Caenorhabditis elegans: one gene and its partners. The protein of the gene in region 1 interacts with the protein of each later gene in a pairwise test. Each region holds a gene or a part of one and is shown in the gene's direction. Other genes may lie near its edges.

What was found. The genes of interacting proteins can lie anywhere in the genome.
Region 2: the proteins of wrt-4 (region 1) and dpy-17 interact in a two-hybrid assay, tested with the Caenorhabditis elegans proteins (one large-scale study listed by BioGRID).
Region 3: the proteins of wrt-4 (region 1) and M163.1 interact in a two-hybrid assay, tested with the Caenorhabditis elegans proteins (one large-scale study listed by BioGRID).

The regions. Positions count from the first base shown.
Region 1 is NC_003284.9:15,751,689-15,759,253, reverse strand, and holds wrt-4 (Warthog protein 4 N-product), read left to right. Parts: upstream 1-1,984; 5' UTR 1,985-1,989; coding exon 1,990-2,088; intron 2,089-2,969; coding exon 2,970-3,167; intron 3,168-3,323; coding exon 3,324-3,418; intron 3,419-4,130; coding exon 4,131-4,369; intron 4,370-4,456; coding exon 4,457-4,797; intron 4,798-5,887; coding exon 5,888-5,939; intron 5,940-5,983; coding exon 5,984-6,167; intron 6,168-6,214; coding exon 6,215-6,377; intron 6,378-6,435; coding exon 6,436-6,600; intron 6,601-6,648; coding exon 6,649-6,786; 3' UTR 6,787-6,997; downstream 6,998-7,565. Other genes in the region: bus-17 (Hexosyltransferase), read left to right, coding at 1,081-1,235; srxa-9 (Serpentine Receptor, class XA), read right to left, coding at 7,116-7,349, 7,403-7,565. UniProt on the Caenorhabditis elegans protein: Intercellular signal essential for a variety of patterning events during development.
Region 2 is NC_003281.10:5,105,486-5,109,226, forward strand, and holds dpy-17 (Cuticle collagen dpy-17), read left to right. Parts: upstream 1-1,844; 5' UTR 1,845-1,847; coding exon 1,848-2,262; intron 2,263-2,314; coding exon 2,315-2,958; 3' UTR 2,959-3,006; downstream 3,007-3,741. Other genes in the region: F54D8.6 (C2H2-type domain-containing protein), read left to right, coding at 1-370, 457-571, 847-957, 1,013-1,111, 1,179-1,335. UniProt on the Caenorhabditis elegans protein: Secreted collagen that forms part of the nematode cuticle, which functions as an exoskeleton and a barrier to protect the worm from its environment.
Region 3 is NC_003284.9:14,502,640-14,505,776, reverse strand, and holds M163.1 (uncharacterized protein), read left to right. Parts: upstream 1-1,952; coding exon 1,953-2,402; downstream 2,403-3,137.

The DNA.
Region 1 (7,565 bases):
CACAATTTGAGATCTTTTTTGAATTTTTAAATAAAAATACGTTTTATTCTCAAAACAATCAAATATTTTACTATACTGAACAAAACAGTTTTGTTTCGTTGCCGAACGGATTGCCGCACAGATGTTATGCTGTGACCTAAAATTTTAGTATGAAAATAACTTTTTGGTGTTAGAAACATAAAAATATTCTAAAAGTGGCAAACACGGTCTTCACAGTTAAAACATCAAGGTAAAATTAAGCCACATAATGTTGAGATTAATGATTGTTCTGTTAAAGTTGTACTTACCAGATTTAATAATCAGCCAGCAAAAATTTTAAAAAAATTAGACAAAAGTAGGTCTTCGAACGATTTCATAATTTGGAATATCTCACAGACAGTGCCACTTAGCAAAATTTAACGCTTTTAAAAATAAACAAGGAAGAAAAAAGAAACCCAGAAGCTAGTTTTTTCGAAATTTATAATTTCATCATGTATTCCCAGAATCTTTCTCAAGCTTTGCATACGGAACTAAAATTCAAAGCGAGTTTCCATTGATAAGAAAACCTTGTTTATATTAACAGGAAAGCCAGGATGTTGCAAAATATCAGATTCAACTTGCAAACAATTATATTTTGTAATACTGTTGTGGTCATTGTGGTTTGTGGTTAAATCAGCAAGCATCAAAATGTCAAAAAAATAGCCAAACTGTTGAATAAAACTTATTGAAAAATATTTTAAATAGATTACGGCTTAAAATTTAGATACAGTGAAGCACTTCGAAGCTTGTTAATTTTGGCCTGTAAACAGTCCGTAAAATTTGTTTCAAAGTGGATTTTTTTGATAGTTTAATAGGTTTAAATCTGAAAAGACACACTGGAAGACTTTAAAATATTTTGGAAAGATAAACTTGAAAAAAATTGACTTTTTCAAAGAAATAGAATTTTTCAAGAACATTCAAAGTTGCCAAAATTCTGCAAAAATTGGCTCGCTGTTAAAAATTTTTTAAAGCAATCTATTCTGAACAAGTTTCTCCAAATGATATTTGAAATTTTTTATCGCTAGTTTTCTTGTTTATTTTTTTTAGCTAGTTTTCTTACAGGCGTTTTGTCGAATTGCGTCGGACTTGGTCTCATCCATAACGAAGGATTCGACAAGCACTCATTTGACGACTTTGTTGTTTATCATTATCAGTATTCGAGGCACTCGGCGAAATATTTGGAATCGCTATGGCAAAACTCTAAAATGATATTGTGAAGTCCTCTTGTTTCACCAATTTTTTCTACTTTTTTGTCACGTGTCATCCAGCCATATGTTCTTTTTCTCTCAATTATTTTGAATTTCTGCGAATCTTTTTTAAAACTCGCTTTAAATTTTGTTTCTTTATTGTCTTCATGTTTCCGACGTCTCATATGTTCCAAAATATTTTATGTCCATAATATAACAAATGAATCCACATCAGGTTATATCAGTCACCGCGGTTCTTAATTTTGTTCTTCTATAACGAGTGTGTGAATAATTATATCGTATAAATCAGATATAGGCAGTTTGCAAAAAAACATAGTCGCTGACCAGCTTTTTGTAGGATATTAGATAAGCTCTTTCAAAAGTTTGGCGGAAAAATAAAATGAAAAGCAAAGTAGATCCTTATATCGTATAAATCAGACGTAGGCGGTTCGAAAAAAAAACATAATCGCTGGCCAGTTTTTTGTAGGATATGGTACTTTTTTTTCCAAAACCTTGCCGGACAGAGAAAATAAGAAGCAAAGTAGATGCTAGGATGATCCAAGAAGGTAGGCGTTTTGATAAACGATGGCCAGGTAGTCCCGCCCATTTTGATAAGAAATCGCTTGGATATTTAAACTGGATGCTTCACCACTTAATTTCATTCTAATTCATAAGTTTTTTCTTTTTTTTTCTCCACTTCTTTAATATTTTTTGAAAGATCATTTTCTTGCCACTTCTACAATTATCTATTCTAATATTATAGTCTTGAATTTGTTCAGATACAATGAGGTTTTCTTTACTTGCACTAGTTTTGTTGTCTTCTAGCTATAAATTCACATATGGATCGGAGTGCGGAGATTCAACAATTCCATATAGTTTAGAGGTAAGAGAAAAAGAAATGTAATAAAAATAATCAAAGCTTTTACAAAAACACCCGCTAAATGTTATTTTGGCCTAAACTACATAGAAAAACAGAGTACGGGTTCTAGGTTTATTTCTCTAATACTATTTTTAGCTAAAGTTAGCCGTTTTTTTTTTTGAAATTTTGGTACTATTGTAGTATACCATTTATTTATTTCAAAAAATGATAAATAATATAAAACTAACTTGCACTTTCAAGCTTCAAAAAACATTAATCCTGAGCCTAATATGGACAAAAAGGGTTACGGATGTTCACTTTAAAAAATGGCGTATATTTTTAGTCCAGGTATACTTCACAAGTACCCAAGTAATTTTATAAGTAGTTGACAGTACAGTTCAAGTACAGTACAGTACAAGTACAAGTAATTTGAACCAATATGAAACATTTTTGCATATTTTTCATTAAATAGTGTACTACGCCTAATGTCACAAACGCGACTCAATTTACAAAGCTTAGAGTTATATAATGAAACGTGTGTATGAAGTGTTAATTGTGATTCATAATTATTAATCACTTGTAGTAAAATGAATTAAATTATCCCTTATTATTATAAGATATTCATTATAGAAAGTTTATCACCATAGTAGTACTTAAATTTAACGTGATACCCATTTAACTTGTTAGGCTGAGGAATGGCGTTTTCCTAAGCCTGAATTTTCACACGTTTTTTTTATAGGTTAAAACATTAATTTTTAAAATGGCGGGGTATAATACACACCATACCGATTTTGACATTTTTAAAACTTATAAAACATTCAACTTTCTGCAATCGTTTACACATAATAGTTATAAACATTCCGCCAAAGCATACTTAACATGACAAATTACCCTACTTATTCTAGGTGCTTTCATCTGGTCAACCGATTCTCGGATGCGCAAGACCAACTTGTTTTGGATGGCATTCAAATGGCCACCAACTTCCAACCAACGCCAAATTCTTCCGAATCGATCAACAATCGGACGGCTTCCTACGTGATGATCCTTTGGCTATTCATACATTTGATGCGGCCGACCCGAGAGTTTACGCGCAGCAGCAAGCAGTGAGTGATAGAGAATGAAAGGGAAAAGCTAATTGAAAAATGATGAGAAAATGAATGAAACATCATAGCAGGTTTTTATGACCCATATGTAGAATCAAAGAAAAAAGGAGATCAGTAAAAAGATGAAAAAGTTATTTTATTAATGAAATATTTCAGAGCTGTGAACAAGAATTCCAATCATTATCATGCAACCCAGAGGACCAATGGGTTGGAGGAATTGCACCAGTCATGAATGCATCTACCACCAAAATGTAAGCACTAGACCAGACTTAAAGGTGGAGTAGCGCCAGTGGGGAAATTGTTAAAAACCACTCCTTTGGTCCCAAAATGACCAAATATCATGATAAAACTTTTCAAAAAATTGGGCAGATAGCTCAGTCGGTAGTGGTGGCCGCTAGCAGTCTGGAGGTCACGAGTTCAAGTCCGGCCTCACCCCTAGGTTCACCCAGCCTCTATTGGGAAGTGGAGCAATCCACGACTGGATTATCGGCCACAGTCCCCGGCTAGGACGTGGCTTAAATTACAGCCCAGAAAGATCACCACCAGGCAGTGTACCTGAATCCCAGGTCCGCAGTGCATAGCACTTGAAGAACGGATCGTCCTTTAATCCTTTGATTTAACTGTCAACAAGTGGCAATTACTCATAATTTTGGAAGTAGACTAAAAAACAAATTTTTTTCGACATGTTTTATGTTTTAATTTTGTTCAAATTATTTGTATTAAAACATTGTAGGGGTCAAAAAATACCGTATTTCTTCAAATTTTCTCAAAAGCTCGTATTTTTCAAAATTTTGGCAATTTTCCAAAACTTTGACCAGAAATTATGAAAAATCTAAAAATTTTTGGAGTTTTTTATTATGATATTAGGTTGTTTTGGATCATTATAAGTGCCTTTAGACAAAATCCCCACTGGCGCTACTCCACCTTTAAGTTCTGAAAATTTTGCAACCTATTTCGCTTCAGTGTTGCCTACAAGTGCTGCACCTACGCTCCATTGCGTGCATCGATAGATCGAGGCGTGGCAACTGTGTCTGGCGGACAAATTGTTGTTGGAGGAGAGATATTCGCAGATAATAAGCCTTATGCATTCGACTATATTAGCAATGTAGAGAAGAAGATTGATTCCGAAGGAGAAATCTTTTACGAAGTTAATATTAAAAGATTCTCATGCTTGGATCTTCAGAAAGTTGATCGATCAGTCCGTAAGTAATATTGGGGTGAAACAAAACAACAGAATTGTAGTCAAAACGAAAAAATTGACTTGTTTTAAAAAACACTCTAAATTTCAGCTGAAATCTTAAACTCTGAGAACACGATTCGCCACGTCAACGGGCATCGATTTGTCGTTCACCAAGCTCCAACTGTAGATGTGGAGACCCCAGTTGAGACTGGACAGCTTGTGGTCCCACAAGGTGTTCAGAATGGACAAGAAGTGATTATTGAGGAAATTGTCGCTCAAGAAGGATTTGTTCAAGAAACAAACCCTCAACCACCACCACCACCAGGACAGCAAGGAGGATTTGTTCAACCACAAGGTTTCCAGCCACAGGGGGGATTCCAGCCACAAGGATTTCAGCCGCAGGGATTCCAGCCACAGGCATTCCAACCTCAAGTGGTCCAAAATCCAGTGGTAAGAAAAGCATACTGTTTTTTTTTGGATAACTAGCTTTCCATTTTTATTTTTCAGTTCTGTTAATTTAATAATCTAATTAATTAAATAACTTAATAATTTATTAATTTCATTTATACTTCTTAATATTAAAGGTGGAGTAGCGCCAGTGGGGAAAATGTAAAAACTATCAAAATGACCGAATATCATAATAAACCTTTTAAAATTTTTTAAAAAATGTTTTATCTATTGCCAAAAGGTAACAATTACTCAGCTTTTCCCACTCGGAATTTTGGAAGTCGACCAAAAAATAATTTTTTCCCCTACATTTTTCTATACTCTAATTTTGTTTTAATTATTTGTATTAAAACATTGTAGGGGTCGGACTTGCGACATTGCTTTGTATTTCCTGAAAAGCTCATATTTTCCAAAATTCTGGCATTTGTCAAGTCCTTGACAGGAAATTATGAAAAATCTGAAAATTATTTTTTGGTCGTTTTGGATCATTATAAGTGTAATCATACAATTCCACTCTTAAAGGTGAAGTAGCGCCAGTGGGGATTTTGTCTAAATCCACTTATAATGATCCAAAACAACCAAATGTCATAATAAAACACTCCAAAAAATTTTTCATAATTTCCGGTCAAAGTGTTGGCAAATTGTCAACATTTTGAAAAATACGAGCTTTAGAGCAAATTTAAAGAAATGTTGCATGCTTCGACCCCTACAATGTTTCAATACAATGAATTCAAACAAAATTAGAACATGAAAAAGTCGAAAAAAATTTTTTTTTCCGGTCGACTTCCAAAATTATGAGTGGAAAAACTGAGTAATTGCCACTTTTTGACATTAAATTAAAAATTTTCAAAAATGTTTTGAAATGTTTTATCATGATATTTGGTCATTTTAGGACCAAAGGAGTGGTTTTTAACAATTTCCCCACTGGCGCTAATCCACCTTTAATATTTAAAAAATTGTGTTACAATAAAATAAGTTCATGAATTGTATTATTATCACCCTTCGCTCTCTCATTCCATTAACCAATATAATCAGCAAACTATTTTTTTCATAATTAATATAATAATTTTCCGAACTTCATTTATTTTTCCAGCCTGCTGCACCAGCTGGATATGCTCCAATGGGATTCGCACCTTCTGGATTACGTAAGTTTTTACACCTTAATAATAATTCCCAACCCACATTTCAGAATTGTATTATTGCTTCCCTGGAGACGCTATGGTCAATGTTTATAATGGAGGATTCAAACGTATGGATGAGCTCGCAGTGGGAGACTGGGTTCAGGCTCTCGACAAGAATGGCTCTCAAGTAACATTTATCCCGGTTCAATACTGGCTTCATCGTGATCCAAAACAAGTTGCAGATTTTGTAGAGTAATACCTTTGGTTTGAGCATTCCGTTTTAACAATACAAATTACAGATTCACACTTGACAACGGAGAGACATTCTCATTGACCGAGAAGCATTTGGTCTTTGTAACTCAATGTTCTGTGCCCTATTCTGAGGATGAGAATATAAATGCAAACCCAGTACCAGCTGAGAGAGTAAACATTGGAGACTGTTTCTACATTGCACACCGCAAGGTAATATCAGATTTTCGATATATGAAAACATTTTGTAACTGAACAGCAAAATTTTCAGAAGTCCCAAATGTATCAACGCGTAAAAGTTCTTGACATCAATATTGTGCAAAAAACTGGAATCTACTCGCCAATGACGTCACGTGGCCATCTCCTGGTAGACCGTATTCATGCATCTTGCCACTCCGAAACCGACAATTACAGCCTTCAAAACACTTTCTTCACTGTTAGTAGAGTTCCCTATTTTACGGTAAATTTCAAATTACTATTACAGAATGTTCTCCGATGGAAGTCACAAATCCGCAACTACTTCTGGACTGTTGAGGATAGCACAAATGAGGATAACATTGGTTACGGTCTTAACGGAGTTATGGCTGTGTTGGATATTGTAATTCCATCAAAGTTGATGTAGATCCTATTAATAATTGTGGACAGAACCGTTGTACAAAATCCTCTATCAAAAATCTCAAATAGGTCAACCAATTTCACACTTTTTCATTCATTTTTTACAATTCAATTGTTGCCTAATTAATTAATTAATTAATTATTTATTTACTTCCAACATCTATGACATTTTGTTTGTTTCAGTTACATTGATTCAATAAACATTTTGTTAGCTCAAAAATTACGACGTTCAATTTTATTTAGTCATTGCAATTTTTTAAAACAGTACAAAACAAGCATCTCAATTCAGTTAAAGACATGATAATTTCTATAAAAATTATGAGTTTTTATACTTGCTTAAGAATGTGGGTTTATGACGGCCCTCGTCTGTTGTTTTGCACCAACTGGTACAACTGTTTGATTCGCTGCTGACGCAAAGTTTGATCCATCGAATTTCAAAAATCGTTTAAGCATTCGACGCGTGCTTCCGGTTTCCAAATAGTAAACGAAAAAAGTCATGGGTGGAATTGACTCGTAGCGGATGTAAAAATAACTTTTATGCACCAAATCCGGAAGGCCTGCGTAGAATGTCTGCAAAAATGATAATATTTTTTTAAACTCATGTTTTAAATTAAACGTGTTACCGGAAAAACTCTGATTAATAATGCTCCTAGTTCATAAATTGAGAGGTAGACCGCCACTGAAACGGTTTGCCGCATCATGATGAGATCACGCCTGGCTTGAAGTTTTGAAAGAGTTGTGTTTTGAAGTGGTACTGCGAATGGAGTTATCGTCTTATGTTTACTG
Region 2 (3,741 bases), on another chromosome or scaffold:
CGTGGTGAAAAGGTTCGGAGCAAGTCGCCAGTTACAGGAGTTGATAGACCACCAGGTGGAGACAGAATTGAACGAAGTAGGGATCGAGAACCGGGTGGTGGTGTTCCTGGGGTTGATCGGGCGCCAGGCAGAGGATCTCGTGGAATCGATCGCCCACCTGGAGGTGATTCTCGTGGTGTTGATCGACCACCTGGAGGTGGAGGAATTCCTGGAGTAGATCGGCCACCAGGAGGTGGAAGGCGCGGAGTTGATAGACCACCAGGATCTGGAATGCCTGGAATCGATCGGCCACCTGGAGGGGATCGAATGGGTGATAAGCAAAGAAGAGGAGCGAGAGGAGGTGTTAAGGAAAGAGAAAGAAAACGAAGAAGTAAGTTTATTCAACCTTTATTCCACGAAAATTCGAAATCCTTATGTTTTTTTTTAAATATTTTTAAATAACGCTTTATTTTTCAGGAGATGAATTCCAGCGAGGAGGTGGTGGTGGTGGCCGAGGCGGTGGCCGTGATGGTGGAAGAGATTATGGTGGTCCTCCGCAAAAATCTGGGCGACGTGATCGATATGATGATTAGTGAGTTCAGCAATGAGCAGAGATATAAAACACATTGAGAAAGTATACGAAAGCCCCTTTTTCTCAGCTATCTCGGAAAGTAACTTTACTTTCAATTGAAATTTTCGAAAATTTGCTCTAAAACTGACTCAAATAATGCCGATCGACACTTCACGACTTTGAGGCAGTTTGTCAAAAACTTCTCGAAGCCTTCAATTAAACATAAAAAAGTATTTGTGACTATTCGCGTTTCGAAACCCCAAAAAAATTTCAATTTTTCAAAATCTCGATTTCAGCGATCGATCGTATCAAGGAACAAGTGGATATGGACAAGATTATGATTCACAAACATATGGAGAACGTGGTTACGATGGACATTATCAAGGACAAGAGGATTATTATGGAAGGTAATAAAATTAAATATTTTAAAATGAAATTAATTAAATTTAATAAACGTTTCAGTCAAGAAGGATATGGAGAATATAATCAGCAACACTACGGTGAAGGATACGATCAACAAGGATATGGGCAAAATGGAGATTCATATTATGGACATGAAGGGTAAGGAAAATCACTTTTTTAATTGTTTGAATTGTATTTTTATTCAAAAATAATTACCTATTTTCAGCCAAGATGCATCGACATATTACCAAGAAGATGGCAGTCAATACTACAATCAATACTACGGTACTGCTCCTGCAGAAGGTGAAGCTTCAGCTGTAACTGGAACGGATTATCATGCAACATTCAGTGTACCACCACCACCGGCTCCCCCTCCGTCATAAATTTAAGAATTGGGAAAACTAAATATTTTTGAATCAAAAAACTTCCTTTTTCAATATTTTCTTCAATTCTTTCCCGATTTCTTTCAATTTCAATAGTTGACTTTTATTTATTTTTAATTTATAAAATTTCTTATATTCTTCTTCCTCCTTCTATTGTATGAATATTAAAAACAGGTCCTTCGACCCGAAAAATCCCCTTCTCAAATCTAGGTCATCATATCGGAGATAACGGACAATTATGCATAATATTCGAGATGATTATCATATCGGTCATATGAGGGGGCGGAGTCTCGCATACAGTAGTCCTTTGTCCTTGTGCGAGGGAGTTTATGAGTATAAAAGGGTCCCTGAGAGAGGAGAAATGGACACTTTTATCAAAACATTTTCCATCTTTGTTTATTTTGACGATATTTATTCGCTGATACGAATTTTTGCAATTTTTATCCCGGATACCGTATTTCTTGGCAATTCAGATTACGCGCAAATTCTAGAATAAACATGTTTTCCAGATCATGTCAGTGTTCGCGGGATATGCCGCGTGCACCCTCGGTGCCGTTTCGATGCTTCTCTGCGTCTCTCTTGTCCCACAAGTCTATCAGCAAGTCTCGATGCTCCGGGACGAGTTGACGACTGAAATGGAGGCATGGCGTCTCGAGTCCGATCAAATCTACATGGATATGCAGAAGTTCGGACGTGTCCGTCGTCAAGCCGGAGGATACGGTGGATATGGTGGATACGGTAGCGGACCATCTGGACCATCCGGACCATCTGGACCACACGGTGGATTCCCAGGAGGCCCACAAGGACACTTCCCAGGAAATACTGGATCATCGAACACCCCAACTCTTCCAGGAGTTATTGGAGTTCCACCATCAGTTACTGGACATCCAGGAGGAAGCCCAATCAACCCAGATGGATCCCCATCTGGTAAGTATAGAAAAAATAGTCCAAAGATCTTATATAAATTGAACATTTACAGCTGGACCAGGAGACAAGTGCAATTGCAACACCGAAAACTCATGCCCAGCTGGACCAGCCGGACCAAAGGGAACTCCAGGACATGATGGACCAGATGGAATTCCAGGAGTTCCAGGAGTTGACGGAGAAGATGCTGATGATGCCAAGGCTCAGACTCAACAATACGATGGATGCTTCACTTGCCCAGCTGGACCACAAGGACCACCAGGATCCCAAGGAAAGCCAGGAGCCCGTGGAATGCGTGGAGCCCGTGGACAAGCCGCTATGCCAGGAAGAGACGGATCCCCAGGAATGCCCGGATCTTTGGGACCAATTGGACCACCAGGAGCCGCTGGAGAAGAAGGACCAACTGGAGAGCCAGGAGCCGATGTTGAACACCAAATCGGACTTCCAGGAGCCAAGGGAACTCCAGGAGCACCAGGAGAGTCTGGAGATCAAGGAGAGCAAGGAGATCGTGGAGCAACTGGAATTGCTGGACCACCAGGAGAGCGTGGACCACAGGGAGAGAAGGGAGATGATGGACCAAATGGAGCCGCTGGAAGTCCAGGAGAGGAAGGAGAGCCAGGACAAGATGCTCAATATTGTCCATGCCCACAGAGAAACACCAACGCCGCTGTCTCTGGAAACCAAGGATACAGAAACTAATTTCACATTATTATTTGTGATTTGTGTTGTTGAAGAAAATAAATTATTTTATTCTCATAACTTTTTTCAATCGAAGGATGTTTTCAGAGAAGCATGTTATCCTAGTTCAGATAATCTCAAGAAATAGGCTTACTATAACAGAAAAAGTTAACTGAATTGCAAACATTTTCAGATAGTAGAAATATAATCAAAACACTTCCAAGCTTTGAAATAGAATACTAAAATATTAAAAAAAAAAACACCCTATTTCCCCAACGAAAATGTTTTGTTACTATTTAATTGAACGATTGTGAACCTATTTTACAAAAAAAGCATTTTGATCTACCAGTTGAACTCAACATATATTTATTTTCAAAAGAATTTCAAAAGATAGATCAAAATAGTTTATCTGAGTTTTTTCATTAATTTTTCCCATGAAAACAGATTCAATACTTGCGAGCATCCTTCTTGTCTCTCTTTCAATGATGCCCGACAAGACACACAGAAACTGTTTCTTTCTCTGCCGTCTCTTATGTATAGAGTGTCCCGAACAGCTGTTTGGAAACGATGGCCGAGTCTGAATGGCCTTGTCTTTTTCTCTTCTCGGCCAGTTTATCGAGTTTATTGGTACCCAGTTGAAATATTGTTTTAGTGATTCTTCAATATCAATATTTGCGTTCAAAAGTTAAATTAGCTCAACTCTCAATTTTCTAAAATCTCTTATGTCCTTCATCACCTCCATTTCCTATTACTTTCCAATATGTTTCTTTGTTTTCGACTCATTTTTATATATTGGATTTCGTT
Region 3 (3,137 bases), 1.2 Mb from region 1:
TAAATTTTTTGTTGTTGTTCTTTCTCTCTTCTTTTATACAACCATTTTATCATATTTCAACAAAAAGTTATATTTATATTCAGCAAAACATACAAGCTCACAGTGCTCAGCTAAGCACAAACTCTATAAACTAATTTAAAAGTGCAAGTTTAGGGCATATGGGCGAGTTATTTGTCATCTTGCCACTTGAAAGAACTCGTTACTGGTTTTCGATTTTTTTTCGAGGAGAACAGAGAGAGAGAGAAAATTTACTTTTTGCGAACGCTGCACAATCTTACCCTGAGACGCTCGAAAGTTACCGTGAACCCCCATAAGCTTTTTTTTGATAAACTTTGGTACTTTCTTGGTACTTTTGTCTGCCTCAGCTGTTCTTCGCAATTTTTTTTGTCAAAATTACACACTTTTCTGATCTTCTTTGTTTACCGCTTTGCACTTTTTTACTTCCCGCGGACCACCCGATGAAAGATCAGCCGGGACTTGTAGATTTTTTCACACTTTTATCTCACTGGATCTCTTGAAAATTCTATCGTTAAAAAGCAAAAAGCAATTTGGACGAAAAAGTCAGAATATAGGTGGCCCGTTGAGAGACGGCTAAACCGTTCAACAGCGATACGATCTGCGCGATAAAATTGTGAGAAGCAGTGTGAAACGCTATGAAAACCATGCTTTCTTAAAATTTGGGTGGGAAAGGGGCATCAGCAGCATGCGGGGCATATTAGGAAGCCAAAAAGTTTCCGAATCTGAATATTTATTCCAGTTGCGGGCCAAAAATTGAGAAAAGCTTTCAAAAATGCAACTGTACTGTTATCTTATAGGAAATTTCGAATTAAAAAATATTTAATTAAAATTTCAAAAAGTTACTATGCTGTAAGTTGAAGCCTTAAAAATGAACATATGTACAAGTACTTTAAAATCAAAAATTTACTTCAACTCTTGATAGTGCTATGTGTCTGAACTTTTGTTATCTTGTACCGGATTCCACAGAAGTTCTATGAGACCACATCAGCATCTGCCTGATTACTTTTTCAAAAACTGTGCTAAACGTTTTTGTGCACCTGATAAAACAGCCGTTAACTGCTGCTGATAAACTATACGTCTGCCAGTACCACCCACAGCTCCGCCCCCTGCCCCATTATTCAATTTTTCGTGTTCATCACTTCGGCCGCTCCGCAATCGAACAGTTCCATTTTTTCCGAACGAGACGCAGAGAAACACCCTCCATCCTCACCCGCCGTCCGATCACAACGTCCGCCTTTGTCCTTGACAATTGGCTCGTCTCGTTTGGACGGGGTCCTGCCCTCTTCTCCCCTCCACAAGTAGTTCCCCCACCCCATGCCACAGTGGTTTGGTGATGGTGCGGGCCGCCGCCGCCGATCAGGGTGTGTATACGAGTATGTAACTGAGTGTATGAATCTGTGTATGTGTGTGAGTGTGTGTGCACATTCTGCTCGCTTTTTCTCTTTTATTCTGCCTTCCAATTGATAATGCAATTGTGGGGAGGGGGTCAAGGTATAGCAACACATGTTGCCAGATGGTGAGACAAGAAGACTCAGCCATCATTATCAGTAGTTTACAAATGATTTCCTTTTTTTTCCTCATTTCCCTTTCCCCCCTCTCATCCGTGATATATCCTTTTTTGCAGTTGCCATTTGATATTTTGATACTGAATAGCTCTAAACATCAGACCATCTTTCATATGCTTATCAGCTTATTTTTAGCCCCAATCGATCTTTGAGACAAACTGAAACATGTGACCTTTTGTCTCGTGCAGTTTCAAATGTGTCTGCGCTCACGCCCCACTCACCCCACTCACCGTCTTCTTGCTATCAGATTTTCGTACCACTTTCTTTTTTGCAAGGATCCAATTCTCGATTCAATTTCCTTTTTTCGCCTCTTTAACTGTATTTCTTTTCCAGCTTGGGTCCCCCTTCATTCATATTTATCAATTCACAATGGCTCGTCAACCACAGCCGGTTCTGAGCTCTTCTTCGCGAATGCAGTCAGCTCCGATCAACATTGCATACAGTAATCGCGACGATCAACAAGTCTGGAGAGACAACTACTACCGGTGGAATCATCAGCAACAGTTTCAGTTTGATGATGATCAAGATGAAGACGTTCAGCAGAACCATCATTCCGAAAATGCAGAGGATCAGTTCATCATGATGCAAAACGGTTTCTCAGGAGGTGTCATCGAGGAGATCGAACAGACAAGCGAAAACGACAATCAGCCAGATGAGAATGACGTCAACGAACAAATCGGAAACAATGACGAGGCGATAACACAGCAAAAAATTGCCGAGATGAATGATGACCTCTTTGAACAGCTGCTGGCGGAGAACGAGCGCAAGTTACGGCAACTGATCAGCTACGTTGAGAACGTTCATCTTGTACTCAAATGAGTCATTTATCTTTTTCTCTAACAAGGTGAGTTGTTGTTACAAGTAGTATTACTGCATTGGTACACAGTGTCGGCGTTGACAGGCGATTTATGCACAAGAGGGCCTTCCGACATCTAAGTACACTTTGTATTCTGAGACCATGCAAATGGTGGGAGCATACATTATGCAATATTAGTCTAGGAATATTTAATGTAACAAGAGACTTTCCGTATATTTAACATATTTCTTTGATGACGAAAACACTTGTGTAAGCATAGTTCAAATATTTAAACGATTTTTTTCAGTATTCCCCAGTATCTGCATTATATTCGTCAACAATTAAAGCAAAGCCAAAAACATTTCCGTCACTCAACTCAACAATGAAAGAAACCATTGCCAATCACATTTTTCTCCCGTTTTTTGCTTCCCCGTTCTAAATATCCCCGTTCAACTCTTCCCTCTCACTCTTCTCAATTGTATTCTGATACCTCCTGCACTTTGTGAGCGTGTGTGCTCAATGACAAAGTTGACCTCACGGATTCCACCTTCAATTTCTCTTCTATCGGACTCCCGCCGAATCACCTCACATTACCATAATCATTGCACATTGAATAGCTCGTTTCACACAAACCACAATCTTGGGTCGCTTCTTTTTCTCCTTATTTCTTCCACTTTTCACACCCCTTAATTGAATATGATATTTTTTTATGACCATGAGATACATACACTTCCGCATAGTTTCTACGATGATAACTT